7 linked regions of the Rattus norvegicus genome follow. The protein of the gene in region 2 purifies or fractionates together with the protein of the main gene of each other region. This does not show direct contact. Links are inferred from orthologs where the notes say so. Each region holds a gene or a part of one and is shown on either strand. Other genes may lie near its edges. The genes, in order: Tspyl1, Zmynd8, Hdac2, Chd4, Csnk2a2, Kdm5a and Rbbp7.

What was found.
Region 1: the proteins of Zmynd8 (region 2) and Tspyl1 purify together in Homo sapiens (affinity purification with mass spectrometry; 4 studies listed by BioGRID and IntAct, counting the BioPlex papers as one, with this or other methods). This does not show direct contact. The link is inferred for Rattus norvegicus from reciprocal best matches to the Homo sapiens genes ZMYND8 and TSPYL1.
Region 3: the proteins of Zmynd8 (region 2) and Hdac2 purify together in Homo sapiens (affinity purification with mass spectrometry; 4 studies listed by BioGRID and IntAct, with this or other methods). This does not show direct contact. The link is inferred for Rattus norvegicus from reciprocal best matches to the Homo sapiens genes ZMYND8 and HDAC2.
Region 4: the proteins of Zmynd8 (region 2) and Chd4 purify together in Homo sapiens (affinity purification with mass spectrometry; 7 studies listed by BioGRID and IntAct, with this or other methods). This does not show direct contact. The link is inferred for Rattus norvegicus from reciprocal best matches to the Homo sapiens genes ZMYND8 and CHD4.
Region 5: the proteins of Zmynd8 (region 2) and Csnk2a2 purify together in Homo sapiens (affinity purification with mass spectrometry; 6 studies listed by BioGRID and IntAct, counting the BioPlex papers as one, with this or other methods). This does not show direct contact. The link is inferred for Rattus norvegicus from reciprocal best matches to the Homo sapiens genes ZMYND8 and CSNK2A2.
Region 6: the proteins of Zmynd8 (region 2) and Kdm5a purify together in Homo sapiens (affinity purification with mass spectrometry; 3 studies listed by BioGRID and IntAct, with this or other methods). This does not show direct contact. The link is inferred for Rattus norvegicus from reciprocal best matches to the Homo sapiens genes ZMYND8 and KDM5A.
Region 7: the proteins of Zmynd8 (region 2) and Rbbp7 purify together in Homo sapiens (affinity purification with mass spectrometry; 3 studies listed by BioGRID and IntAct, with this or other methods). This does not show direct contact. The link is inferred for Rattus norvegicus from reciprocal best matches to the Homo sapiens genes ZMYND8 and RBBP7.

The regions. Positions count from the first base shown.
Region 1 is NC_086038.1:39,635,553-39,639,920, forward strand, and holds Tspyl1 (testis-specific Y-encoded-like protein 1), read left to right. Parts: upstream 1-1,482; 5' UTR 1,483-1,513; coding exon 1,514-2,653; 3' UTR 2,654-4,042; downstream 4,043-4,368.
Region 2 is NC_086021.1:174,987,434-174,991,027, reverse strand, and holds part of Zmynd8 (MYND-type zinc finger-containing chromatin reader ZMYND8), read left to right. Parts: intron 1-1,921; coding exon 1,922-2,403; coding exon of another isoform or gene 2,404-2,477; exon of another isoform or gene 2,478-3,244; intron 3,245-3,594. UniProt on the Homo sapiens protein: Chromatin reader that recognizes dual histone modifications such as histone H3.1 dimethylated at 'Lys-36' and histone H4 acetylated at 'Lys-16' (H3.1K36me2-H4K16ac) and histone H3 methylated at 'Lys-4' and histone H4 acetylated at 'Lys-14' (H3K4me1-H3K14ac).
Region 3 is NC_086038.1:42,101,625-42,105,992, forward strand, and holds the start of Hdac2 (histone deacetylase 2), read left to right. Parts: upstream 1-1,502; 5' UTR 1,503-1,708; coding exon 1,709-1,760; intron 1,761-4,368. UniProt on the Homo sapiens protein: Histone deacetylase that catalyzes the deacetylation of lysine residues on the N-terminal part of the core histones (H2A, H2B, H3 and H4).
Region 4 is NC_086022.1:159,594,741-159,598,334, forward strand, and holds part of Chd4 (chromodomain-helicase-DNA-binding protein 4), read left to right. Parts: exon of another isoform or gene 1-47; coding exon 48-179; exon of another isoform or gene 180-253; coding exon 254-350; exon of another isoform or gene 351-1,376; coding exon 1,377-1,568; exon of another isoform or gene 1,569-2,195; coding exon 2,196-2,396; exon of another isoform or gene 2,397-2,576; coding exon 2,577-2,714; exon of another isoform or gene 2,715-2,967; coding exon 2,968-3,089; exon of another isoform or gene 3,090-3,240; coding exon 3,241-3,414; exon of another isoform or gene 3,415-3,594. UniProt on the Homo sapiens protein: ATP-dependent chromatin-remodeling factor that binds and distorts nucleosomal DNA. Acts as a component of the histone deacetylase NuRD complex which participates in the remodeling of chromatin.
Region 5 is NC_086037.1:9,572,310-9,575,903, forward strand, and holds part of Csnk2a2 (casein kinase II subunit alpha'), read left to right. Parts: intron 1-1,079; coding exon 1,080-1,181; intron 1,182-3,594.
Region 6 is NC_086022.1:155,236,743-155,241,100, forward strand, and holds the start of Kdm5a (lysine-specific demethylase 5A), read left to right. Parts: upstream 1-1,493; 5' UTR 1,494-1,789; coding exon 1,790-1,954; intron 1,955-3,520; coding exon 3,521-3,598; intron 3,599-4,358. Other genes in the region: Ccdc77 (coiled-coil domain-containing protein 77), read right to left, coding at 1,296-1,493. UniProt on the Homo sapiens protein: Histone demethylase that specifically demethylates 'Lys-4' of histone H3, thereby playing a central role in histone code. Does not demethylate histone H3 'Lys-9', H3 'Lys-27', H3 'Lys-36', H3 'Lys-79' or H4 'Lys-20'.
Region 7 is NC_086039.1:35,549,511-35,553,104, reverse strand, and holds part of Rbbp7 (histone-binding protein RBBP7), read left to right. Parts: intron 1-379; coding exon 380-553; intron 554-1,659; coding exon 1,660-1,775; intron 1,776-2,619; coding exon 2,620-2,780; intron 2,781-3,470; coding exon 3,471-3,594. UniProt on the Homo sapiens protein: Core histone-binding subunit that may target chromatin remodeling factors, histone acetyltransferases and histone deacetylases to their histone substrates in a manner that is regulated by nucleosomal DNA.

The sequences.
Region 1 (4,368 bases), on a different chromosome or scaffold from region 2:
CCTGGCAAGTATTTAGCAGTGGAAATTCATTTCTCTGCGTGGAAAAAGCAGTGCACTGGGGAGAGGCGGGGGCATGATTTACCCAGAATTTCACGAAAATTGGGTCACAGTTTCAGAAGAGCTGATATAGATATCTGTGTTACTCTCCATCCACACTGACTTTTATGAAGCATGTAATTTTCTAACCATGTTCTTATTGGTGAATTTACCACTGTGTGATAAACACCGCGTCATATAGTTCTTATAATAATCTAAGTCGTTGACCCCTTTGCTATACTAAAATCGCCACCACTACAATAACCTTTATAGTAAAATTGTTAAATTTGCTATTTATGTTTATAGCTGGGTTACATTGTCTATGAACTTTATCGAAAGGAGTTAAACGGCCTTTTGGAAACATTTGTTATTCAGAAGGTGGCATTTGTTCTGATAAATTTGAATTTGGGGACCATGAATAACTACCTTCTTTTTCTCAAAACAGAAAGGAAATAAGTTCTTAAATATTAATTTATTTGTTCATGAGGAAAGGTGATGGGAGAAAATATGTACCAACTTGACATTAGTTATGCGTTAATGCTTATATCTTAAAGTGAAGTCACATCCTGTCCAAAGAGCCTCGGAATCAAATCTCCTGGGCTCAAATCATTGCTCTGTCATTTTTAATGTTATTTTGGTAAGAGACCCAGTTTTTCCTTGTTCAAAAAAAAATCTTAATACATCACAAGATTGTTATAAGAACTATACAGCGTGATGTGTATCACAGTGCACCCGTATAAACAATCGTTAATTATAACCACAAAACATCTCCCCAAAAAAACAGGAATTCTCAAAACCAAACCCACCGAGCTTCGTTCCCAGTAACGTCCGAGGTTAGAATAGAACTGCTTTTTTATTCTTTTTGAGCCAACGTGTATGCAGCCCAGGTTAGCCTCCAAATCAAGGAGCCTCAGCACCGGAGCACCGAGTCGCCAGGCAAGGGCCATCACACCAGGCCAGACTTCATTATTTCTTCAGTTCTGTGAAGGGGTTTGGGGGTGCCTTGGCATTCACCTTGGTTAAAAACAGACATTTTGGCTCCTAGCTTTTTCGAATATCCGGCGGTATTTTTACCTTCTCACGTCAGTGGAAAGTGGATGAACTTGTTTGCTGTGGACAGTAAGCAAAGTAAATGCTGTGCGCACACTCACAAACACACAGACACACAGACACCCAGACACACATGGCGGCAGCCGGGATGCGGGAGACGTTTCCAAAAGCCCCGCCACTGCCTTCAGTCTCCTAGGATAACTGACATTCCTTTACCGAAATAAACGTGACAATCGCAAACCGCTACGTTTACAGAAGCCAAACAAACACGGAAGCCAATCCTCGCTGAGGAACCAATCAGGTGCGCTGCCGGCTCTCGCGGTACTTGCGGCCCTGACGTCACCGCCCTAGAAACAGCGAGGGGCGGAGGTGGGGCTGCGTGGACCCTGAGGGTTTGTAAACTGAGGTCTGTGCGACCGGACCGGACATGAGCGTCCGGGAGCCGGACGAGGGGACCCCTGTGCCCGACCACCGCGGCCTCTGCGATGCTGACACTATCCCGGGGACCCCAGGCTGGCGTCCGCTGCTCGGCGAGAAGGCGGTGACAGGTGAGGGCAGCGCGGGGATCGTGGGGAGCCCAGCGCCCCGGGGTGTCGCGGGCCTTGGCCCCCAGGTGCGGGTGGCCGCAGCTAGGCAAGGAGAGACTCCGCCTGTTGTCGAGGGCCCCGCGGCGGCGGCGTTCGTGGCACCGAAAGATGCGGAGAAGGCCCTAGAAACTCGGGGAGCGGAGGCCCGGGCCCACGACGTGAAGATTGAACGGGCCACCGTCGCGGTGGCAGCGCGAGAGCAGTCAGAAGTGGCGATGCAAGGGAGTGAGGAGGTGATGGAGGTGGAGCAGAAGCCCGCGGGTGAAGAAATGGAGATGCCGGAGGCTAGTGGAGGAGCCAGGGAGGCGCAGGAGGAGGCAGGGCCTTGGCACCTGGGCATCGATCTTCGCACGAACCCGCTGGAGGCCATCCAGCTGGAACTGGACACCGTGAATGCTCAGGCCGACAGGGCCTTCCAACATCTGGAGCAGAAGTTTGGGCGGATGCGGCGACACTATCTGGAGCGAAGGAACTACATCATTCAGAATATCCCAGGCTTCTGGATGACCGCCTTCCGCAACCACCCTCAGTTGTCCGCCATGATTAGGGGTCAGGATGCAGAGATGTTAAGGTACATAACCAATCTGGAGGTGAAGGAACTGAGGCATCCTAAGACTGGCTGCAAATTCAAGTTCTTTTTCCGAAGAAACCCCTACTTCAGAAACAAGCTGATTGTCAAAGAATATGAAGTGAGATCATCCGGCCGAGTGGTGTCTCTTTCCACTCCAATCATATGGCGGAGTGGGCATGAGCCCCAGTCCTTCATTCGCAGAAACCGAGACCTCATCTGCAGCTTCTTCACCTGGTTCTCAGACCACAGCGTTCCAGAATCTGACAGGATCGCCGAGATTATCAAAGAGGACCTGTGGCCAAACCCACTGCAATACTACCTGTCTCGTGAAGGAATCCGTAGACCCCGACGTCGCCCAATAAGGGAACCAGTGGAGATTCCCAGGCCTTTTGGCTTCCAGTCAGGCTAACCTTGCTTTTGAAAATGCAGCTGGCTGGAATAAGTCCCTTCTCGCCTGTGCTTGAGCAAATGCACCGGGTACGCAGTGTTTTGATTTCTTTCCTCCTGACTTTTCAGCATCTTCTGTTTGGATAGTCTCCTCACCTCGAGATTAAGACTGTGGGCATGCTTCTGCCTTCACATGGCTCCCATGCTGTCCTGAATTAGTATCTGCCGGTTCGTGGCCCTGACTTGTACCTTTTCTAAGCTTAACAGTGAAACTTTGTATCGCACTGCCTTTACACTGTGTGGACGCTGTTTTCAGTGTTACCCATTTACTGCCACCTAGATGTCTTGCTTTATCTGGGGGCTCTTCTATTTACCTGTTCAGCACGTGGCAATGTGGGCAAAAAGTTTTCAGACAGTTGCTGGGCCTAAAGGTCATTGCAGGAGTGGGCCACCTTCTGTGTCATTTTGTGACTTTTTCTAGGCTTCATTGTGTTTGCCAGTACTCCTCACCCTCACTCTCCCACCTTTCTCCTGTTATTTTAAAGAAAAGTAGTTCAAAAACACCTGTAAGATCAGGAGTTGTAGTTCATTTATACTCAGCATTTCCTGAGAGGATGCTCTGTAAAAGAGGTCACAGAACTCTGCCTTGTCTCCTCTCTTACCCACTCCTCAGCCTGGTTAGCTAGCAAGTCCTAAAAAGCTTATATGGAGACAGAATACAGAGACAGAATTAGATGGAAACAGGTGAGCTTTTCCTAATAATGTATGGAAGAACTAAAGAGATTGTGATGGGTACCTTAAGCAGGAAAAGTGAGCTGAAAATGAAAAGGCTTAGAGTCAAAGTAAGTCAGATAAAAATTGGGCTGAGGATGAAGACAGGATGAGAGCTTTCATATTTTGGCCAGTCATTGGTGATGGGAAGAGAATTTCTCAGGAAAAATACTTTCTCTGAGTGTTGAATGTTGCCTAGACAACGCTTCTTTAAAGAAGCAGTTCACGTTTGGGTTATTTTTCTCTCTTTATATGTGATCTAATGTAAGTGAAAGGGTAATACTGTGTTCATATTTTACCAACATTTAGTAAAATGCTACTTGTTTCTACTTACTGGAGAAATTTAAACACTTTCATTTGCATTCATTTGAAACCACTTGGAAGAGCAATAGACTTAAGTGAATATTCATAACAGTTTTCAATATTAATCCAAATTCTTAGAAACAGCTTGGATAATTTGGTCTTTATCAAATGTGTCAAGTTATTGACTTATGGAAAAGTAAATATGTGACTTGATTGACTTGATAGTCTCTTCTTAAACTGCACATAGTTATAAAAGTTCTTTGTCAGATTAGCACTGTACTCGGAGTGTATTTGTTGCTGTTTGTATGCATGATGGTAAATAAAAGCATGGTACCCAGTTGGATGGCTTTCTTTCCCCTCGCATCTTGGCCATAAGCCTGCCTAAATGGGTTTGTATAATTAACAAGATTGCTGAATTATCAGATTTCTTAAATGAACACAATTGACATTATCCCAGAGGTATCAAGAGAACACAGTAACTTTCTCCTGCTTAAAGAGTGGCTGTTACTCTCATTGTTTTGTTGCTTTCGAAGGTTGACAGTTTCAACTAATTACTGTGATTTCAGATCTTCCTACACAACTTGTGCAGTAGTACCACGCCTTCACTTCTTCAGGTTCACAACTCACCTCCATGGGTATTTTCATGTGTTATTCAAATGTACA
Region 2 (3,594 bases):
CTAACTGCTGAGAAAACTGGGCCCCGGAATATAATGCTTTGCCCAGCATCCCTCCGGGGAGAGCCTGGGCACATGGCCGCTGCGGCCCCTCCCTCAGGCTTTCTGTGTCAACAAATATCTCATTCCCTTTTGAGGACACAGTGCTTATTCTTACTGAGGCCCCTTAAATGACTTGGGAACCAAGGGCTGGCTGGACAGTTAGGACCTTGAAACTATACCAGCCTAGAGTGGGTCAAGGGCCTTGAGCCTGTGGCCCTTGGCTGAGGGGAGGCTCTTGGTGCTGACGCACAGCTGTGGTCATTTGCTGGCTGGGGACCCGAGTGACTCTGGCCTCTTCCTTACCTAGCCCAGAGCCCTGTCTCTGGTAGGTATTTGGTTTCTGCTCAGCTTTGGTGGGGTCCACCTGTCTGGATATAAGGGTCTTCAAGTCCCCGCAGAAGGCTGTCCCTAGCACACACAAGGAGGGGAGCTGCTCACTTATAGCACCCCGAGATCAGCTGTGTGCTTAGGGGTTCTCCTTGCAGCCAGGTTTCATGCTGAACTCGGCCTCTGCACAGACCTCCTTTCCTGTGGGCCATTTCTTCTTCAGATGTAGGAATTCAGTGCGCACTGGTGACACGGTGCAAAATGCTGTAGCTGAAACCCACTGTTTGTCTTCAAAGACCAGGAAGACTGGGCAGCCTAAGTAGGCACTTTGGACATAGCTGGGCAGATGGTTCTCTTATCGAAGCAAGATTATTCTCTCCCCCACCCCTCCCACATCCCATGGACTCATGCCAGGCTTTGGTTTGAGGTCCAGGAACCCTTAAACGTCTCCATAGAAAAGTTAGGAACTAAGTTGAGGCCGTAGAGTCGGGAGTGCACAATGAGCAAGGTGTTCTGGTGTCCCTTCTCCACAGGAGTGGTGCTGGGGGTGTTCTCAGTCGTTCCCGGGGTCATGCAGGTTGCCGGTACTGGAAAAGGCACCACTGTTGCTTTTGGTTTCTGGGTCTCTGCAAAACGTCCTGGGGTGTGGGGGTCGATGGAGAAGGACAGGCCTTCCCCGAAGTAGCAAGGTCTGTGGAGAGCGTGCACCCCAGAGCCAAAGTCTACTTAGTATCAAGAGTTTTCCGGGTGGTTACCCTCTCAAATGTTGCCACGTGTGTCCAGACAGTGAGGAGGCTGATGCAGGAGCACCCTGAGTTGCAGGCCAACCTAGACAACATAGTGAGATTCTGTCTCGAGTACGACTGAAGTGTTCGCCTGCATGTGCTGCCCAGCGAGATCCAGGAAACACACCCCTCCTCAGATGTGTCGTGGAGGACTGGGACTCTTTTCCTCACCCTGAAAGAGCAGGGAACTGAAGGAATTACCATTGTATTTACTTCTGCCATTTATATTCATTTAGTTACTCATCTGTGTGTGTGTGTGTGTGTGTGTGTGTGTGTGTGTGTGTTCGTGCACACGTGCGCGCTCATGCCTGCACACGCATGTGAGTGCCACTGCGCATGTGTGGGGGCCCAGGGACAACCTGAGGGAGGTGGCTCTCTCCACGTTGGCTTTGCCAGCGCAGGTCTCCAGGCTTGGCAGCTGTGGCTTCCCCTGCTGAGCCGGCTTCCCCTGCTGAGCCGTCCATTTGTTTCTGGGCGATTAAGATGGCTGAGTGTGTGGAACCCGCTCACATCTCTGGCTGAATTTTGTTGTTCGTGTGTGTTCTATCCTGAATACCTCTGTGAAGTGGATCATTCATTAACCATTCAAAACAAGTCAATTATTTAAAAAAAGGGAGGCCCCATATTTAAGAATCTTGGCAGGCACCCACCAGGCTAATTTGATTTGCATTAAGAAAATTAAAAAAGAAAAAAAAAAGTAAACTACCTCGGAAATGACTGACGCTGACTCAGAGTGTCTCTCTCTCTTTCTCTCTCTCTTGCCATCCTAGAGCCTGGGTTCCAGTCAATAATTGCTACCTCATGTCAAAAGAAATCCCCTTTTCTGTGAAAAAGACTAAGAGTATCTTCAACAGCGCCATGCAGGAGATGGAAGTTTACGTGGAGAACATACGGAAGAAGTTCGGGGTTTTTAATTACTCCCCGTTCAGGACGCCCTACACCCCCAATAGCCAGTACCAAATGCTGCTGGATCCCAGCAATCCCAGCGCCGGCACTGCCAAGACAGACAAACAGGAGAAGGTGAAGCTCAATTTTGACATGACGGCGTCCCCCAAGATCATTCTGAGCAAGCCCCTTCTGAGCGGGGGCGCGGGCCGCAGGATCTCCCTGTCCGACATGCCTCGCTCCCCCACCAGCACGAACTCCTCTGTGCACACGGGCTCCGATGTGGAGCAGGACCCCGAGAAGAAGGCCCCATCCAGCCACTTCAGCGCAAGCGAAGAGTCCATGGACTTCCTTGATAAGAGCACAGGTCAGCCCCAGTTGGGAGAGTTGGGTAGGAGGCCGCTTGGTGCATTCTGGCGTCCTTGGATGCCTCAACCGTAGGTGCAAGCAGGCAGGCACCGCCAGACCCCAGAGATGAGGGCTGTATCCGAAGGCCAGCGGCGGCCATTCTTAGACGTGGGTGGAACTGGCCACAAACCCTGAGGGGCTTTCGTCCAATGTCAGAGCCTCTTGGCTCTTCAGAACAGTGCCCTGTGACTACGCTGTAGTTGAAAGTTTAGTTTTTGATACCTCTGTGTTAGGCTTAACTTAGATGTTAAGCAAATCAAGGTCAAAATGGGTCCCCCGCCCAGTTACCAGACCTCCTTCAAGGTCACTGTCTATAATTGTAGGAGTCCCACTCAGCCCATGTGGCTTTGGGGAACATATTTAATGTGTTTATTATGCCTTAGTCTCCTCACCTTTACCATGGCAACCGTTACTGGCTACACACGGAGGCCCTGCTGTGTGTAGGCTCGGTTGGGAACAGAATGAGTCAGAACCCACAGTAGGACAAGAGCAGTGACCAGGGCAGTGTTGACTGGAGTTATGTTTCCTGGTGATCTCTAATGTGCCGTCTCCAAGGATCTGAGAAGAGATGCAATGAAGGGGTGACTTAAGTGATGGCCCAGACTGGTTTGGTCAGGAGGATCCTCCTGCTCCGTCTTCCGTGTGCTGGGATGACAGGTGCACCTCACCGAGCTGCCCATTAAAACCTGCTTGAAGTGAGCACGTCATAAAATAAAAGTGTGTCCCTGTGCAAGCTCCCCCTCGCTCTCTTGTTCCGAACTTCAAAAAAAAAAAAAAATAGAGTTTTTATAGGAATATGAGAATGGTTGTGCTGTTTTAATTTAGTGTCTGTCTTCCCTTGGGTGGGACCGTGGCGTCGAGCTTTGCGGCAAAAATTCCTTGTTCACTGGCAATTTTTTTTTAAAGACGAGAACTTAGACTTCAAAGTCCCTATTCTAAAAATACACAACCTACTCCCCACCCCCACCCCCCCACCATGCTTGACACTTGCTAATCCCGTAAGGTGGCCATAGAAGGAGCTGCGGTGAGAGCAGGGGCCAGTGTGGTAACCCCAGCATTTGGGAGGTAGGGGCAGGGGGATTAGGAGCCCGAGGGCTGCCTTGACTTCATGAGCTCTTGTCTCAAAACCACTAAAAAAACAACAAAAAAC
Region 3 (4,368 bases), on a different chromosome or scaffold from region 2:
TAAGCACTCTACCGTTGAGCTAAATCCCCAGCCCCAAGAAGGTTTTAATAGTCATATAAGAAAGCCTCTCATTTTATTGGTGAAAAGCACTTAAACAAAAAAAAAAATTCAAATGGCTTGCTGGAAGTCACAGGCACTAGACTAGATTATGTTCAGGGAAAAAAAAATCGACTTATCCTCTTGTGAAAGTGTCCTACTGAGAGACCAGTTGAGGAGTTACGGCCAACAGTTAACATGTTAAATGCTGAACTAAAAGGACACTTGGTATTAAAAAGCACGGGAAACAGACATGGGAGAACACTGTAGTCCCTGAACCTACCGTGTTAATCTCCCAGGGTCTTGTTAAAAGTACAGGCTTGGGAGAGAAGTGGATGTGGTGAGGGGTATCTTGGAGTGATTTTTAAGTCTCTTGGAGTAATGTCTAGAAGATTGGTGTTTTAAGTATGGAGAGTCCTGGGGGTCACAAGGTAGAAAATAATTATTTTTGTTAATGACTCAGTATGGTTCTTACTTCAACCCCTCCTCTTACGGAAGGAAGCGGTGTGCGCATGTAGCCGGAATTGTAAATAATAACGGTTAAGATATGTGAGTGTTGGATTTGACAGCCAGCTCCCATCCTTTCTTTGCGTAACGTTTAAGAAGGTTGGTTTAGACTGGTGCTCAATAAACGTCAAGCTATTAAAACACAGGGACTCCAATGTTTAAATCCATCCTTTTGGATTGTCTGACAGTCTGATACAGTAGACAAAGCACGTGGAGTCTGGAAAAGTTTGACACCCGTTCGGTCCTCAGATGACTCACACTTGAGGGCTCCTTCATTTACCCGCACCCATAAGGAGATGCGCACGGCGCGTGCATCCCGGCACCTTTGACACCTTTAAATGGCGTTTATTATAAACAGGTTTGGGTGCTGGGAACCGCGCTTATGCTTGAGTCCAAGAAATGCTTATTAAACCCAGGAGATACCTTCAGCCATTAACCTCTCTGTAACTCAAGAGTAGTTATCAGAAGGGAGGAGAGAACAGGAGAATTAGAACGCGTGGGAATATCCGACCACCAGGCAGCCCGGGGGCAGCCCTGGGGAGCTCTCCAGCGGGTTCCCCTCGGAGTCCCCGCGGCACGTGGCGGGCTCGGGCAGGCGCGTCGCGGCGGTGGGGGAGGGGAGAGGCGTGAGCCCTGGCGGAGGGGTCTAGACTGCCCGGGATCCGTTTGAGCAGGCGCGGAGTGCGCAGGCTCGGCCCCGGTGCAACCAGTGCGTGCCAGACCGAGAGGGGGACGTGGTGGCAGAGCGTTCGGGACTCTGAGCACAGGGCCAAGGTCGGCTTGTGCGCACCTCCGGACTGTGTGTGTGATAAGACATACGGAGCACTGCTGCAGCCTCGACCGGTGGCATCCACTCCGGCCCGGTCTCTCCTCCGGCCCGTAGCTGTGTTTCCCCCTCCGCGCGGCCGCAGTGGTTCCTCCCAACTCGCAGCCCCGCCGCCCGGAGGCCTACCCCTGCCGAGTGTCGCGCGTCGGCGCCGCTGCCAACCCCGCTCTGCGATCTCGGGCCCTCCCGGCACCCGCTCGCCGTCCCGCTCCGGGCTGTCCTTGCTGCGAGGGCCGCCGCGCCCGCCGTCTCCCTCAGCCCTCTTGTCTGGCCGCCGGGCCGCGGCGGGCGAGAGCAGCCGGAGGAGGAGCCGCAGCCAGGAGGCGGCGGCCGGAGCCCATGGCGTACAGTCAAGGAGGCGGCAAGAAGAAAGTGTGCTACTATTATGACGGTAAGTGGCCGGGGAGCCTGCAGCGGGGCTGCGGGTCGGACGCGGCGGGGTATCGAGGGTGGCAGCCCGCGGGGACACCGACACGGCCTACCCAGCGCTCGCCCGCCTACTCGGGGACGCCCGCCTTCGCTCCTCTCCGGTCCTCCGCTCGGGCACGCGTATGTTTGGGGTGCACTGCCTGGGACCGGTCTCGGAGGAACCCCTGTCGGCTCCCCGGGCCTGACTGCACAAAGCCGGCGTCCTGGAGCTCCGCCCTGCGTCCCTGTCCCCTCCCCCGCTCGCCCGGTCCCCCCTTCTCGCCCCCGATCTGTCGGCGCTGCGCTTCCAGCCTCACCCGGGACCCCGGCGCCCGGGTGGAGCTGCGGAGGAGTTACTGCTGGCCGGGGGCCAAGTTCGCAGAGCGGCGCTGTCTCGCTGGTGTTTTGCGTGGACTCCATCCCTCGCCTTTGTTCGTCGGGTTTCTTCAAGCTCCACTTTCTCAGGGTTCGGATGGAAGGGCTGCACTTCCTCCGTGACAATTAAAGGGTTTTGAATTGGAAGTAGGTAGGCCTGTGGGGAAGTGATGGGAGAGAGGGAGCGTGGAGTTGCTCTTGTTTGGTGGGTCTTGGCATGTCTCTATGGGAGGTTATTACCACCCACTTCTTTGTTGGTCTTTGTTCGATCCGCAGTTATACTCTGCTCTGGGGCTTAGGAAGGAGCATGGGCATCTTGGTTAGGAAGTCTGTCCAAGTGTGGTGGGGACCCTGCTGCAGCAAACTTTGAGAAGTAGACTACATATTCCATACAGGTAGGGCTGAGCTCAGAGTGCAGTGGACGGTACAAGGTGACTGTACGTGTTCCCTAATTTGGAATATAAGCAGTCATAGTCTCTGGGTCCAATTACACTAGATGGAGTAGTGCCCTGCCTTACAGATTTCACCCAGAACATTAATTGATAACTATTGAGAGAAGTAATAAGGAAATTGGACAGAACTAGCTAGCCTCACGGACTCGAAACGCTTCATCTCTACAAAGCAATACGAAATTGGGAGCGTTTTCTGTAGTTGGTGCATTGAAGTCTTGGAGAGGTAGATTACAGTGTAGAAAAGCAGGCCGAATGAAACCGACTTTAGCTGCAAATAACCGTTTGTTTTCTTGGTTTGGTCGAATCTTTTTTAATACAGGCTTTAAATGAAATAGTCACCTGTCATTGGCTGGAAAATCAAAAACCTGACAGAAAGCTAGGTCAAAATAGAAACAGCTTTTAAATGGCTGTTTTGTTTTCTGAGATAGGCTCTCGATAAGTTGACCTGGCTGTCCTGAAACTGTCCTATGTAGACTAGGCTGACTCTAACTCCGAGATCAACCTGCCCCCGCCTCCCAAATCCTGGGATTAAAGGCGAGTGCCACTGGCTTAATTGGCAGTTTGAGAGGACTACATTGAAAAGTTACACTATCGTGGAGAGCAGAGATGGGAAAGCATGACAACTTAGACATGACTTAACCATTATGAAGTGGGATTCATGGCAGACCCCTGACCTGCATTCTCTGATCCATTGGAAAGGATGCACTGTATGAATTAACTTGAAAAATTACAATTACAGCCTTTCCAAAGTAAAGGTTTGCTCTGCTAGAGGGTAGAGTCAGGGAAATAATGAACTGTTGGGGAACAGCTCAGTCTCTTCTGCTGTCAGCTTCTTTCCTCAGCTATGAACTCTTAAATCCCATGTAACCTTGACCGGGTCTGATGGAGAACCAGACAGTACTCTAGTGTGTCTTGAGCAGCGCCTTCTTCCCGGGTTCCTGTGTGGGGATGAGCCTTTACTGAGGGATGGGATAGACGGGTGGATGGAGGTATTTTTCAGTCATGTGATTTTTAACTTACGCCCATGCAACAGCTTTACCTAGATGTAAGTAACCAACTGTACAACTAATGGTGGAAATCTGCTGGGTTATCTGTGAAAATCTGTCTGGTTCTTGCTTGTTTTTAGGATGGACGTATTTTCATTCCAAATATTTGCATTAAAGAAAGTTAACAAAAAATGGAAAAGAACACTTAAATTGGTGTCTTAAGCTAATTAACATGTGACATGTGATAGCATGCTAGACTACAGAAATAATTCTCTACATGTCTGTCTTCATTACTGTCTGCAGTACTGGACCTGTTAGATCTCTGTGCCACTGCTCTGTGAACTTTTGGATAGGGGCATGTGAGCTATCCCTAATCCTCAGAAGAGAAATCAGAGTTCTTAGTAGACTACGACTATTGATTGACTGCTCATCCTAATTCCCAGAAACACATTTCTGAATTTTGGCTAATCTCTTATTAAAGATCAATGCTTCATCAAATGATCTGAAGCTAATTATGTACACACTAGTATACTTTCTGACCTTAAACCGAGGTTTTTTGCTTTTGGGGGGTTTTTTGTTTGTTTTTTTTCTCTATTTAAGTGTAATTTAGCAGATGGAGCCACATTTGGTTCTAATTGCAATGCTCATGGTTTTAATACTTCATCTAGAAATGTGAACTATGCCTTGTTTGGAGTGAAGCTTGGGACCAATCATGCAATGCCATCTAATGTATAATTTATAACAGAATTAAATGTATGCATAATTATATAATTAAACA
Region 4 (3,594 bases), on a different chromosome or scaffold from region 2:
GAAGTTGCTTTCTGGTTCTGAGGAGTTTTTCTTTATTGACATCATAGTGTGGACAAGAAGGGCCACGTTCACTATTTAATAAAGTGGCGAGACTTACCCTACGATCAGGCGTCTTGGGAGAGTGAGGATGTGGAGATACAGGACTACGACCTGTTCAAGCAGAGCTACTGGAACCACAGGTAGGTGACTGTGAAGAGGGGAACTGCTCTCCTTCAGAAGGACCGAGAGGCAGCTCTGCCGTTTTCTCTCCTAGGGAGTTAATGAGGGGTGAGGAAGGGCGACCTGGCAAGAAGCTTAAGAAGGTGAAATTACGGAAACTGGAAAGGCCTCCGGAGACCCCAACTGTTGATGTGAGTTTGGGTGGAAGAGGAATGGTGTATTTGTTGTGTGGGCAGTACGCTGCAGTGTCATGGTGAAGCTCCAGGACCTGTAGATGACTCTAGCTGAGACGATCTAGATTGTCCTCTCAGAAAGCATCAGGAAAAACCCACAGATGGGATATTTTATGTTAGGACAGTGTTCACTAGGAGGTGGTCTTATATACAAGGGGCTTGTGTATGTGTGCGTGTGCGTGCGTACAAACGTATGCATGTATGTATTTGAGAAAGGCAAGGTCTCATATAGCTCAGGCTGACTTTTAACTTCTGATTTCCTGTCTCCGCCTCCTAAGTGCTTTGATTGCTTACGTGCGCCAGCCTCTACCTGGCTGGTCTTAACGATGACAGCAGTTAGTGTCCTGGCACACCGGAGCCTTTCTTTGCCTTGCATGTTTTGAATAGTGGTCTGTGTCAGGTCTCCCTGAGGCCTAGATAAGCTGCCTTGTCCTCTGAAGGATGCTAAGGCACATGCTGCAGTGACAGTGAGGATCCCATCACTCCCTTTTCCCAAGTGTATTGAGGCTCACACATGTCCACAGTTCTTTCTGCTTACTGTCCCTGTGCCCCCTCTTTCCTCCCTCCTTCCTTTAGCCACCCCATTCTTCCTTCCCTGCAGATCTCTTTCCCACATTCATGCCTTTTTGGTCTGGGACCCACTGGATTTAACTGGGACTCTCTGTGACCATTGGTTTGGATCTGATCTGTCCATTATGGCCTGGTGGATTCTGTGGCAACTCCAAGGCAACTAAATTCTTTATTGTTACATTTTGAGACGGTATATCCTGATCCAAAGACTAGTCTTGAACTCAATCCTTCTATCTCAGCCTAAGTACTAGGGTTAAAAGGGGGTCTTACCATGCCTTATTTCCCTAAGGGCTATTTTGTTTTGTTTCTCTTAGCTCTCAGGAAAAAAAAAAGATCCACTAGGACTCGTGTAGGAGGAAGCAGTCTTCCAGGAAGGGGGTTCTTTACCAGCTTTTGACCTCTCTTCTCCTTCAGCCCACAGTGAAGTATGAGCGACAGCCGGAGTACCTGGATGCCACAGGTGGAACCCTGCACCCCTACCAAATGGAAGGCTTAAACTGGCTACGCTTCTCCTGGGCTCAGGGTACCGATACCATCCTGGCTGATGAAATGGGCCTTGGGAAAACTGTGCAGACAGCAGTCTTCCTCTATTCCCTGTACAAGGAGGTAAAGAGGCTGGGAGACGCTAGTGTCTGGAGTGGGTATTTTGTGACTATATTTTCTTGTGTTTTAAGGAGTGGGAGGAAGGGAGAAAGAAATACTGCAGAGGGATAGGAAGAGACAGCTCTGTAGTACAAATCCTTTTTTCTTTTCTTTTTCTAATTACTTTGTGTGGGTATGTTGTCCATAAGTATGGCTGTGCACCACCTATGTGCAGTACCTGGGGAGGCCAGAAGAGGGGTCACCTCTTTAAACTGTAATTACAGACTATAAGCCATCATGTGGGTGCTGGGATCTGGACGTGGGACCTATGCAAAGCAGCTAGTGCTTTTAAACAGTGAGCCACTTTCTAGATCCTACAGTGGAGATTTTGCAGGATCAGAGCCCTGGTAGGCTGAGTGCCTGGAGGTAAAAGGCCTTAGTGGTAGGAAATTCTTGTGTAGGTGGAGGAGTTTGGTTTTGTCAAGGTGGGCAACTGCCTTTTGGGAAGAGGGGTGAATGGTGTTTGTAACAGATGAAGGGGCGTCAGAGGCACAGGTGTCCAGTGTCAGCTTCACTGTGGGTCAGGGAGGAGGGGGAGTCTGGGGTTCAGGGAGGGGGCTCTTAGCCCTGACTCTGCCTGTTTCCTTCCAGGGTCACTCCAAAGGCCCCTTCTTAGTGAGCGCGCCTCTGTCCACCATCATCAACTGGGAGCGAGAGTTTGAGATGTGGGCTCCTGATATGTATGTGGTGACCTATGTGGGTGACAAGGACAGCCGTGCCATCATCCGGGAAAATGAGTTCTCCTTTGAAGATAATGCCATTCGTGGTGGCAAGAAAGCCTCCCGAATGAAGGTATTTCAGTGGGAGGGAAGAGGAAACTTGACAGGGAGTCACTGCTGTGGGCTGCTTTGCTGCCTTACCAGGTCTCTGAGTGAGGCAGAAAGAGAACTTGGGGAGCAGGGAAAGCTTGCTTGTCCCAGTTGTGCTGAGGAGTGGACCAGTAGTGAGTAACCGGCTTATCGTTATGTGCAGAAAGAAGCATCTGTGAAATTCCATGTTCTGCTGACATCCTATGAGTTGATCACCATTGATATGGCCATCTTGGGTTCTATTGACTGGGCCTGCCTCATTGTGGATGAAGCCCACCGGCTGAAGAACAACCAGTCTAAGGTGAGGAGTGGGAGGTGAGAGCCTCTAGTCCTAGTCCCTTGGGAGAGTCATCTTTTTGAAAGAAGCCTAAGTAGAGAAGAGGGGAAAGTGGTCTTTATTTTCTTCTTGACCGTTGGTAGCCCCTTCTTTGGCCAGGCATTTAAGGATGCCAGCCATGGGATGAGAGGCTTTAATTCACTGGACAGTGAAACAGCTTGGGATTTTTCTGGTGCTCTGGTGCCTTCGTTTCTTGAATTTCATTTCTCTTCACCAGTTCTTCCGAGTTTTGAACGGTTACTCACTCCAACACAAGCTGTTGCTAACTGGAACTCCATTACAAAACAATCTAGAGGAATTGTTCCATCTGCTCAACTTTCTCACCCCCGAGAGGTTCCAGTAAGTGTGGCTGTCTGTCTGTCTGTCTGTCTGTCTGTCTGTCTGTCTGTCTGTTCCTAGCTATATGTTTGTTCTTCTTGTTGCTCACTTCCCGTGTTACTTTCCTTTCTTCCTTTTTTCTTTTTCTCTAACAACTCTTTTCCCCCTGAAGCAATTTAGAAGGCTTCTTGGAAGAGTTTGCTGACATCGCCAAAGAGGACCAGATTAAGAAACTACACGACATGCTGGGGCCTCACATGTTGCGGCGGCTCAAAGCTGATGTCTTCAAGAACATGCCCTCCAAGACAGAACTGATTGTGCGTGTGGAGCTGAGCCCTATGCAAAAGTGAGTGTGGAGGGATGGAGCAAATTGAGCTTCGTGACAGACACCCGCCATCCCGCCAGCAGTTTCTTCCACAGAGCTTCATGTCTGCCGATAGGAGCAAGCAGGGCCCGAGGAAAGCTCACACCTGGGAGCGGGAGCTTGTAGTTGCTCGTTCCACCTTCCTGTGTCTAACACAAGGAT
Region 5 (3,594 bases), on a different chromosome or scaffold from region 2:
TTATTTTATCATTCATGAAAGTCCATGGGCCTCTCTTTACCTTGGTATTATGATAACGGTGCCTTAACAATAAAGTAGTCCATTTCCTTAGCTCAGTCTCTCTCTTGACCCACTTGAGAGAAAAGCCCAGAGAAGAGGGTGCTGCAGGGCAGTCAGGTTACCAGGCCTGAGTCTTGTTCTGTTAGCTGAGACCTGGGGGAATAACTCCTCGGCTGCTGACCCTCCTACTTAGAGGCTTCCTGGGGGTCAGTGGACTTCCTCCTCAGTCGGCAGGCGGAGGTCAGAGAGTTAGCATGTGCTGTACACTTACTGGTGTGTCCCTTACTGTCTGTCCTGAGTGAGTTATAAATGTCGTGCTTGCCTTTTCAAAACTGCTTTTCTTTATTAACTTCAGACAGGAAATGATACACATACTGTGAGTGTTTCTAAGAACTTACTTTTCCATCTTGTAGGTTGGTGCCTTAGCAGTTAGCAATCATTGCTGGATGAGATCAGCTTTCCCCTTTGCTGAGCCAACAGCTCTCTCTCTCTCTAGGAATGAGATCTATTAGGAGAGTTACTAGCTCTGAGCTGATTTGATTCTAAATCTTAAGGAAGTGGGAGTGGCAATAGGAAATGGGAGCCAACAGTTTGGAAGCAAGTTTGTAACTTAATGTCAGTGAGCTAGTTCATGCCCTAAGATACAACTACATCTAAATTGTGGGAGAGCAGGCGTCTAGCTACTTTCTTTCACTTTTTCCATTTGTTCATGGTCTGCGGCTGTTCAGAACCATGACACATTTGGCAGTAATCCAGTAAAAATGCATTTATTTTTAAAATACTACATGAATGTTAAAGTTTGCTAAATGCCCTAGATATAACTACTTAGGGAGATTGCCACATAAGCTATAAACTAAAATGTTTAACCTGAAAGATTATTATAGGAAAGCTCACTTTCTCTCTTCTAGTTAAGCATATTCTTTAACACAACACAGTACACAGCAAACAATCTATGCTGTTGCCTTAACATTGATTAAAGTTGTATTTATTATGTTAACTTCAAAAGGAGTCTCACTTCTGATTACTCTTGTGTATTTAAGCCAGTGAAGAAAAAGAAGATAAAACGAGAGGTTAAGATTCTGGAGAACCTTCGTGGTGGAACAAATATCATTAAGCTGATTGACACTGTAAAGGACCCTGTGGTAGGTGCCTGGTGGCTGGGGCATGTGCTAGTGGATTGGGGTGGGCTGTTTTTTTTTTTTTTTTGTTTTCTCGGAGCTGGGGACCGAACCCAGGGCCTTGCGCTTCCTAGGCAAGCGCTCTACCACTGAGCTAAATCCCCAACCCTGGGGTGGGCTGTTTAACACCCAGGACCTTGTATGGTGCTGCATAATGGGCTGGTGGCACTGATAATTACTACCGAGGGGGTTTAAAAACCATGCAAGAGCCACGCCCAGTGGTGATAGCCCCGGGAAGCCCTGCTTTTGTTCTGTTTTTGAAAGCTGCTCACTGCCAGTTTGCATTATCTTACGTCACTCTAGTAGCTTGATCTTGGGAGTATCTATGTTGATTCTAGTGTAGAGAACTAAGCATGTCTCAGATCGCTAGTCCTTTGAAAAAGAAGCCTTACTGTTTCATATTGCTAGTCTTTAGTTCAGCACCTCATGTTGTATACATACGTATAAAAATATCTACGTATTTTTACAACTAAAATGCTTCATTTGGGGCAAGATGGCTCAGTGGGTACAGGCACTTGTCACACAGGCCTGGTGACTAGAGTTTGATCCCTAGGAACCATGTCAGAGTAGAAAGGAAAAGCCTGCTCCACAGAGCTATTCTCTGACTCCACATATGTGCCATGGCACATGTGCCGTCATACGTACGTGTATATACATATACACAATAATAAAATAATCATAAAACAGTCTCAATTTCTACCTATCTTAGGGTGCTATTCACTTTTTCCTTCCTCTAAGGAAGAAGCTGGCAGTATTTGCCTAGGCTTTGATCCTTGAGACCACCTTCGTGTCATTTGTGTCTTCTTGCTGTTGTCCACCTGCTCTGTCTGATTATCCCCCTGTTCCCCAGGAGAGCTTCATGTAAGCTCATCTGAGAAGCAGGTCTTTGCTTCTGCATGCTGAGGACACCCCCATACTCTAACGCAGGCCAGGGGCTAGGCTAAGTACTTGGCTGCATTGCACCACTTAATCCCTGATGATCCAGGGGCAGGGGCTCGTACTGCTCTTGTCGACATCTTACTGTAAGGAAACAGAAATCAACAAACATTAAGTCATTTGCCCACCTGCACGGTGATAATATAAGATAAGAAAATATTTTTCTTTTGGAACTTGATCAAGCCTGAGAAAGGTGGTTATATACAAACTCGTAACTGATTGTCACTAAATAATATATCTATCCTGCTTAGTTCAAATTGATTACTAGCCCAAAATTACTTAATGTTCAGGTTAAAATGGGTTTGTCCACTTGAGAATATAAATTCACTCGTGTGTGTGTGTGTGTGTGTGTGTGTGTTTGTTTTAATGTTTGAGATAAAAATGGATATTGCTCACTTAAAGAACACACACACCATATATATATATAGAAAATGTAGATTTAAGGATATAGCTGGGGGTATAGCTGAGCTGTCTAATGGCAGAAGTAGGCCTTGAGTTGGATCCCTAGAACTACATAAATTAGGCAAGGTGATGTGTGTTTGTAATCCCAGCACATAGAAAATGGAAGCCAAATGGATGGTCAGAAATTTAAGGTCATTCTCAGCTACATAGGGGATTTAGGGCCAACCTGAACTGGACACCCTGTCTGTGTGTGTGTGTGTGTGTGTGTGTGTGTGTGTGTGTGTGTGTGTGTCTCTCTCTCTCTCTCTCTCTCTCTCTCTCTTACACACACACACACACAAACACACACACACTTTAAGAGATGGTATAGGGGGGTTGGGGATTTAGCTCAGTGGTAGAGCGCTTGCCTAGCAAGCGCAAGGCCCTGGGTTCGGTCCCCAGCTCCGAAAAAAAAAGAAAAAAAAGAGAGAGAGAGAGAGATGGGGGTTGGGGATTTGGCTCAGTGGTAGAGCGCTTGCCTAGCAAGTGCAAGGCCCTGGGTTCGGTCCCCAGCTCCGAAAAATAGAAAAGAAAAGAGAGAGAGAGAGAGAGAGAGAGAGAGAGAGAGAGAGAGAGAGAGAGAGAGAGAGAGATGGTATAGGGACTAAGCCCAAGGGCCTTGTACATAGAAGACAATAATGAGTCAGTAACTGGTGAGCATCCCCTCCCCCTACTTTTTCTTCTTTCCCCTCTCCCTTCCTCCCTCCCCCCTCAGTTAACTGAAGTTACTGATACCTGGCTTAGTATTTGTAACTTGTTAACGTGTGTGTAATATATGAGTTAAGCAAAAATTGAAGACTTGAAAGTGGTTAAAAGCACACGTTATCTTCCAAAGAACCTGACTTTTATTCCCAGCACCTGTGTCAGGTAGCTCAGAGCCACCTGTAACTCCAGCTCTAGAAGGATCCAACACTTGGCGTCTGTGGATAGCCATACTTACCTGCACATAGCAAACACATACACATTTAAACGTTCTTTTCTAATTGATGTGGGTTTGGAA
Region 6 (4,358 bases), on a different chromosome or scaffold from region 2:
CGGGAGTTATTGCTCAGGGCACATCATTTGCCTAATATGTTCAAGGACTTGGGTTCAATTTGACTAGCAGAATAGAACCTTTTTTTTTTGAGACAGGGTTGTACTACGTAGTTCACCCTCCCCACTTTTGTTCACTTTTTTCTTTACTTAATGTGTGAATATGTATATTTAAGTGTGTGGACCCGTGACAAGGTCTGAGGACCTCTTTCAGGAGTTCTCTCCTTTAACCACGTGGGTTCCAGTAAATCAAACTCCGATTTTCCGGCTTAGTGGCAAGTGCCCTTCACAGCTGAGCCATTGTTCTGTCCCTTCCCGTGTATTCTTTTTTTTTTTTTTTTTTGGTTCTTTTTTTCGGAGCTGGGGACCGAACCCAGGGTCTTGCGCTTCCTAGGTAAGCGCTCTACCACTGAGCTAAATCCCCAGCCCTCCTTCCCCGTGTATTCTTGACTGATCAGGAACTCGGTAATACCAGGTAGGCCTTATGGTGATCTTTCTACATCTCCTTCCCCAGAATCTATAGCACACAGGGAGTTTTCTTATTTTAGACAGGGTCTTCTGTAGCCTAATCAGGCCTCAAATTCATATGCAGCTGGGACTGCCCCTAAACCACGTGTCCACATATCACGACTGTAGGCGTATGGATGTGGAGGGCACAGGATAACTTTTGGAGTCGGTTCTTGCCTTCAACCTTGTAGAGTCAGGCTTAAACGCATAAGGGAATTGTAGGAGCGTACACCAGAAACATCGCTTTTTTTCTTTCCTGTCTAAACATCCCTTGCTGATTGGAACTCTCTGCCTGCGTAACCATGCCCGACCTTACACGTAGCGGTTTCTAACAAGGTGACCGTTTCATAGCAAACTGAAAAGGTTAGCAAAGTAGGTGTTTTCAGGTCCTGCTTACTTCTCGAATAAGGTTTCAGGACCGCTACCAACAGCTAGAAGAGCAAGGCCAGGAGCTATATAGTTCCCTGTGTAGTGAGAAAAGCAATTCGCAGCTGGTGTTGGTTAAGGCCGGCCCATACGATGACGGAATTGGACCGAAACCAATTGGTCACGGAGAAGCGAGAGACCCGTATGAAAGCGACCGAGTGAAATTATTCGTACAAGACTAGCATTTGAAAGAAGAAAACAGAGACGGGAGATTCTGTCAAGGGTTAGTTACTTGTCCAAACGTAGACAACTGGGTTAAAACAGGTCTCGGAGAACAAATAAAGCAGAGCAGCCAGAGAGGGGCCCACCTTGTTTTCGTGTCGTCCCCACCCCCACTACACAAAGAGGAACAGGAACCACCTCACCGGAAGCACTACCTCTGCTCTCTGAGGCATTACACATTCCTCCGCGCGCCGGAAGAGCGCGTTCCACCTTGCGGGGTAGCTTCTTCCTCGCCTCTCGAGGAGAGGTCGCGGAGCCATCAGGGGCCACGCACCCAGAGTGGACGGAGAGTGCAGAACCTTGACCGGCAAGCTGAGAAAAAAAGGCACGCCGGCTGTCATGGAAGGGAGGAAGGCGAGAAGACCCGACTAGACGTGGCGGCGGTGGGATTTTGTTTCCTGCGGTGGCGGACTGATTTAGCAGTACGTTAACTTCCGGAAGCGTCCTGTCCCTGAGAGGAAAAGCCCTGAAGGAAACAATAACAAACGACAGGAGGAAGCGCTTCTGGGTCTTCTGTGAGGAATAGTTCTCTCCTAAGAAGATGCGCTGCGGCCCCTGTGAGGAGACGTGAGAGGGCTTGGCGGCCGTCACCCAGCCTTTCCCGGCTTGTGCACCTCAGGGCCCCCTGGCTTTTACCATGGCGGGCGTGGGCCCGGGGGGCTACGCGGCGGAGTTCGTGCCGCCGCCCGAGTGCCCGGTCTTTGAGCCCAGTTGGGAGGAGTTCACAGACCCGCTAAGTTTTATCGGTCGCATCCGGCCTCTGGCTGAGAAAACTGGCATCTGCAAAATCCGTCCACCCAAGGTAGCGGAGCCTGAGGGGGTGTGGGGCGGCCGGGAGGGTCGTTAACTCTTGCTGTAGCTCTCCTATTTCGGTTCTTCTGTGCTTTCATGGGGCCCCTCCCTCATCTCCTGATGTCCCGACGCTACTTTTGAGGATGTTTTGCCCTGGGTTCTGAACGCAGTTTCACGTCCACTTTTACCTTTTATTGTGGATGCGTATGCGTTCGCTGAGAGGTCAGAGGACATTTTGTAGGAGTCGATTCTCTTCCTGCGTTGTGGGTCTCAGGAGGGCTCGAACTCAGATTGTCAGGCATCTCACCAGCTCTCAGGTCCGCCCTCAAAAGAAAGAAATAGGAATCTCTGGGACTTTTTCCTCTCAGAATTTATTTGGGCGCAGATATTGTAGTGTGGATTGGAGGTAAGGATAACAAAAGGCTTCAGGCCCTTCCTAGGGAAAGGCGTTTAAAGTGTCTTGTCATTCGCTCATGCACAGCCTTTCTGTTTGCGTATTAAAAAAAAAAAAATCCCACTTCTGTCGACTGTTTCTGTGTCCAAGCCTGCTAAAGCTCAGTTTATCAAACCTTTGCAGGCCACTACTCGGGTTTCTTAAAATGTAATCCGAACTCAGGTTGTCTACAGGGTGATGTCACTAGACTAGAACCCCCATGCTAATTATTACTGCAACAGGAAAGGCATCCTCGAGGAAGATAAAGAGCATTATTTAGTTGTTTTTTAAAATGTCGATGTTTAGAAAGAATTGGTCAATAAATGGGGATGTAAGAAAACGTTGAAATCTCTAGATGTAAGAAAGCAAGGGATAAAGATTCCTAAGCTGTAATATAAATAATCAAATTTGCGTATAAATTGATTAATTACCTCACTGTACGGTTAGGAACGCAGATGATACCCCGTAATGAGTGGAATTAATCCCCTAGGAGGTTAAGTGATATGCTCAAGGTCAGAAGAGTTTTTTTTTAATTCATTAGGTGCCTTTCAAATGATATTGTTAGTGAGGGAGAGTGCTGCAAGGCCCCTGCGTCCATCCTCAGTCACGTGGGAGAAAAACCTTGTTCAAATGTTGCTGAAAACCAGCACTCGGGGATGTTTTTTTAAATGAGATCCCTGTGCCCTGTTAAAGTAGAACAAATTTGTGGCTGCAAACGTTCTACAGTACGGATTTCTTTCCTAGCAAGTACTCAAATGAGTTTTGTCCTTGCTAAGATGGTCAAGCTGTGCAGTCTAGGCTGATTTGGAACTCTTAAGCCTCCTGCCTCTACTTCAGAGTACTAGGATTACAGGCATGTGCCATACTCAAGTCAGTTGACTTTTTTTTAAGTTTTACTTGGTAAACTTGTGTGTTTATTGGACACTGTTTTGCATTTGACAAGCTCGCTCATTGTATTCCTGGATAACCTTGGAGAGTATAACTATATTTTGAGATGGTAAGATTTGAAAATTGTTTTTCAAGTAATATTAAAATATAAACTATAAGTACATTGGCTTTTTTTGTCTCTATAATAAAGACTTACATAGTCTATGATTTGTGGCAGCTCTATGCTAAATTACCAGAATAATTCTTTCTATTTAGGATTGGCAACCTCCATTTGCTTGTGAAGTAAAAACCTTCCGATTCACTCCCAGAGTCCAGCGCCTGAATGAACTTGAGGTGAGTATTAGACCAATATTTCTGCTTTCTGGGTTTTTTTCTCCCTCCTTAGTGGTGGTGGTGTTTGAGACTCAGGGCTTCTCACACACTAAGCAAATGCTCTACCATAGTTTTATATAGCTCCAGTTTCCTCATGGCTTACCTTAGGATTTTATTTTTTGCCAAAAAATAATTTGCTTTTCTTAATTACCTTAGGATTTTAGATAGAGAACTTTTAAAAGGTCGTACCAAGACCCAGAATTTGTGTTAATTGGGATTTAATGAATAATAGTTACATGGTATTTGAGGAACGTGTCTTTTAAGACTGTTTCAAGTAGTTACTACCCCTTTTTTCTTTGCTTCTTCATTCAATAGGATAGCAGAAAACTATTTTTTCTTTCTTTCTTTCTTTTTTTTTCTTTTTATCGGAGCTGGGGACCGAACCCAGGGCCTTGTGCTTGCTAGGCAAGCACTCTACCACTGAGCTAAATCCCCAACCCTGAAAACTAATTTTTAACATATTTTCTTAGTGGAGATTCTAGTGCTTACCTTTAGAAAAGTGGAAATCCCTTCCTCCCTCCTTTCCTTTCTTCCTTCTTTTTTTAAAAAGCAGATCTCATACGGTCCAAGATGTCAATTATCTTGATACATAGTCCCTGACTGCGTGGACCTCCTGGCCTTCCTGCTTTCACACCTATGTGTTGGGATCACAGCTGTGCACACATGCCTGGTTCATAGATGATAGGGATTGAATTTTGTGCTTCAAGACTCTAGGCAAGTG
Region 7 (3,594 bases), on a different chromosome or scaffold from region 2:
TCATAGGAAATTGTTTAAGCACAATATAGTGTGTTTATAATATTCTCAGCAATTAAGAATGAAAAGAAAAACTATATGCACCAGTACGGAAGGTGAGATTTTTGTTAATAATCAGATCTTAACTATAAAAAGGCTAATTTTTTAGTTTTTTTTTAATACACAAGGTAGAACAAACTATTAACTTAGCATGGTAAGCAATCCATTATATTGAAAATGGGCTTTGAGAATAAATTTCATATAGCAGGTAACCTGTATTTTGGAGAGTTTCTTTTTCTCTTCAATTTGTGTTCTACTCTGACAGGGTAAAATCGGTTGGGTTGATGCACTAAATGACTTGTGATTTTTAATCCTGAATGTTTTGTTTGTCTCCTTACATTAGAATTTGGTGGCTTTGGTTCTGTAACAGGAAAAATTGAATGTGAAATTAAAATTAATCATGAAGGAGAAGTAAATCGCGCTCGTTATATGCCACAGAACCCACACATCATTGCCACAAAAACACCATCTTCTGATGTTTTGGTTTTTGACTATACAAAACACCCTGCAAAACCAGGTATGTATTAATAAAGCCAGGCCATCACACATTTTTCTTGATTAGAGATAATATTTTAAAAATACTTTAAAGTACTGTACTGTTAAGACTGGAAAATCGGCTCAACAGCAGTTAGAAACTCTGTTGGCTTTTCTATAGGATGTGGGTTCAATTCCCAGCACCCACATGGCAGCTCATAGGCCTTTGTAACTCTAGTTCCAATTCTTTGGGCCTGTGGGCACCATGTATGTATGTGGTGCACAGATATTCATGCAGGTCAAACACTTGTATGTGTTTTTGTAGAAAATATGGAAGTCATTTACTCAAAATAAATTTGTAAAATCTAAAGTAGTCTGTATAACTTTTAAAACTTCACAAAGTGAGGGATTTCATAACCACCTCTAAGCTTGGTGATTCACTAGAACCTGATAGCAAATTATACTTGCAGATGTGGTTTACTGAAGCAAAGGATCCAGAACAAAAGCAGAAGAAAATAAAGATATCAATCAGATAGGCAGTAGATAGGTCTCCACAGGGTACGAATACAGGCTTCTGAGTACCTCCTTTCTGGAGTCAAACAGGAGATGGTTTTTCTATAGCAGAAAACTAAGTGACTGTCCAGAGAAGCCTGTTTGAGGCCCAAGGTCTGGAGTTCCTAATGGAAATCTGGTCACAAGTTCCATATGCACTCATGGTAATGAAAACCAACAGCTTCAATAGTGAAGTTAGATGAATCCTTGATAAACTGTACTACAAGAAGTTGCTAAAGCATGCTTTCATTGGTCTGAGCATGTCAAATTCTGAAAGGATGGCCAAGGGTCATCCATGGTTTCAGGCTACCCAGGGTATGTAAGGATTGAATGACCAGATATGCTGGATCTATTTCTAAAAATTGCCTTGGGATGAGATGATGGGGTAGCTACTACACAGATTTATGGAACAGCTATAGTTGTCAACATTTCTGTATTAGTGATAGTATTGAGCCCAAAACCAGTCAATGCGCTTGTGGGTTCAGTGTAGAATTGCTATTTGATTCGGTCAATAATAAAAGGAGTCTGAAGCTTGGTTCTTAACCAATTCTGATAAACGGATCACTTAGTGGTTAATATGTTTCATTTTCCTCTTAGATCCAAGTGGAGAGTGTAATCCTGATCTTAGATTAAGAGGTCACCAAAAGGAAGGCTATGGTCTCTCCTGGAATTCTAATTTGAGTGGACATCTCCTGAGTGCATCTGATGACCATGTAAGAGCTGATATTCTTTCTTAATATTATACTGAGCATAAAATTGTCTTAGATCTAAGCTACAGGATCTCTGTATAGATTGAAAATTTTCTAAGATGACATAGATTGCTGTGTTAACATTTTCCTGAGCTTTAAAACAATTAGTTTCAGATTACTCTGTTAGAGCCTTAAGATTTTACAAAGCTCTTTTGAAGATTGGAGGATTACCATTGTTTAAAAGAATACTGCTAGATTTACCTTTTCATTTATTATTTGTGTAAATTCCAACAGGCTCTATTTCAAAAGTTGTGCATCTGTTGCCACTAATTTTAGATTATTTTCATTAGGTGTCTGAAAATGAAATTCCACAGATGTTAAACAATTACTCCTTGCTTTCCTTTTGCTAATAATAGCTATAGCTAGCTGATTATGGCCTATGGTATCCTAAAGTGGGCTTAACACCACCAGATTCTCTGCTTTGGGTGTGCCTCTCACATCCAAATAAGAAAGAGATTAGTCTTTTCTGTAACAGTCTTGTCACTATTGCACCAGTGTGCAAATCTTATCTTGCCTTAGTATGTAGAGTTTATAGCTGAATAAATTGTTAATGACCTCTCTACCCCAGCTACCAACATTGCACCTTCTGGTACCAGGAAGGGTGCAGCAAGTGGTAAAAACATGTAACTGCCCTGCAACCATAGGGTGTATTGTATTCAATAATAGGATCCTAAAGATCTAGTTCTGATGGACAACCACAGTAGCAATTGTCTATTTTGCTTTAGGGAGATGAGCATGTTCCTAAATAAGATGTTACCTTTTAAATCTGGTATTTTCATAGCCTTTGTTCTTTTTTGTTCTCCCTTAGACTGTCTGCCTCTGGGATATAAATGCAGGACCAAAGGAAGGCAAAATTGTGGATGCTAAAGCAATCTTTACTGGCCACTCAGCTGTTGTAGAGGATGTGGCCTGGCATCTGCTGCATGAGTCCTTGTTTGGATCTGTTGCTGATGATCAGAAACTTATGATGTAAGGTGGAAGGTTCAGTGGAACCTTGATGGGTAATCTGAATGACAGACCATTAGTGATTGGCAGACTGAGTTCTGGCTCTTGAAAGTTATGTTACAGTTTTAAAATGAGAAATAGCTTTTTGTGAGTTATACTTGATAATTAGCTGCATGTATGTAGTGAACAGTTTATTTCATTAAAAATGAAGAAAAATTGTTAAGAATGTGAAGAAAAAGGCTTGAATAGTGATAAATTCTAAATGTGATCCAGTGTTAACTGATTAGAGCTCAGGGAGGAAGAGTGTTTCCATTAGATGGTGTGGCTATAGAGCTGCATTAAAATAACTGAACTCATGCTTTATAAGTAACTATTGTACTACTGAGACTAGGAGAACAATGTATCGAAATTTGACAAGGCTAATTATAGGTAAAATAAGGAAATGCTGTAGTCTGTATTTTGAGTACCTTTAAGATGGTATATAATTAAGATAGAAATTCAATAAAAGGAACTAGACTAATTGTCCTAGTTATTTGGAGGTTTAAAACATGTCATTTAATGGACAAAAGCCCAAATTGCTGTCTGTGTGTGGTTTGTGTATTTGTGAATGGGTAAGCATATCAGAGCTTCATATAGAAAGAAAGAACATCTACTGAGCCAAAGCTCTTGGGAGCTGTAGGTGCTGTATGTATGCCTTGTCTTTTTGTGTTTCAGATGGGACACCAGATCCAATACTACTTCTAAGCCCAGCCATTTGGTGGATGCACACACTGCGGAGGTCAACTGCCTCTCATTCAATCCCTACAGCGAGTTTATTCTGGCAACTGGCTCTGCAGAT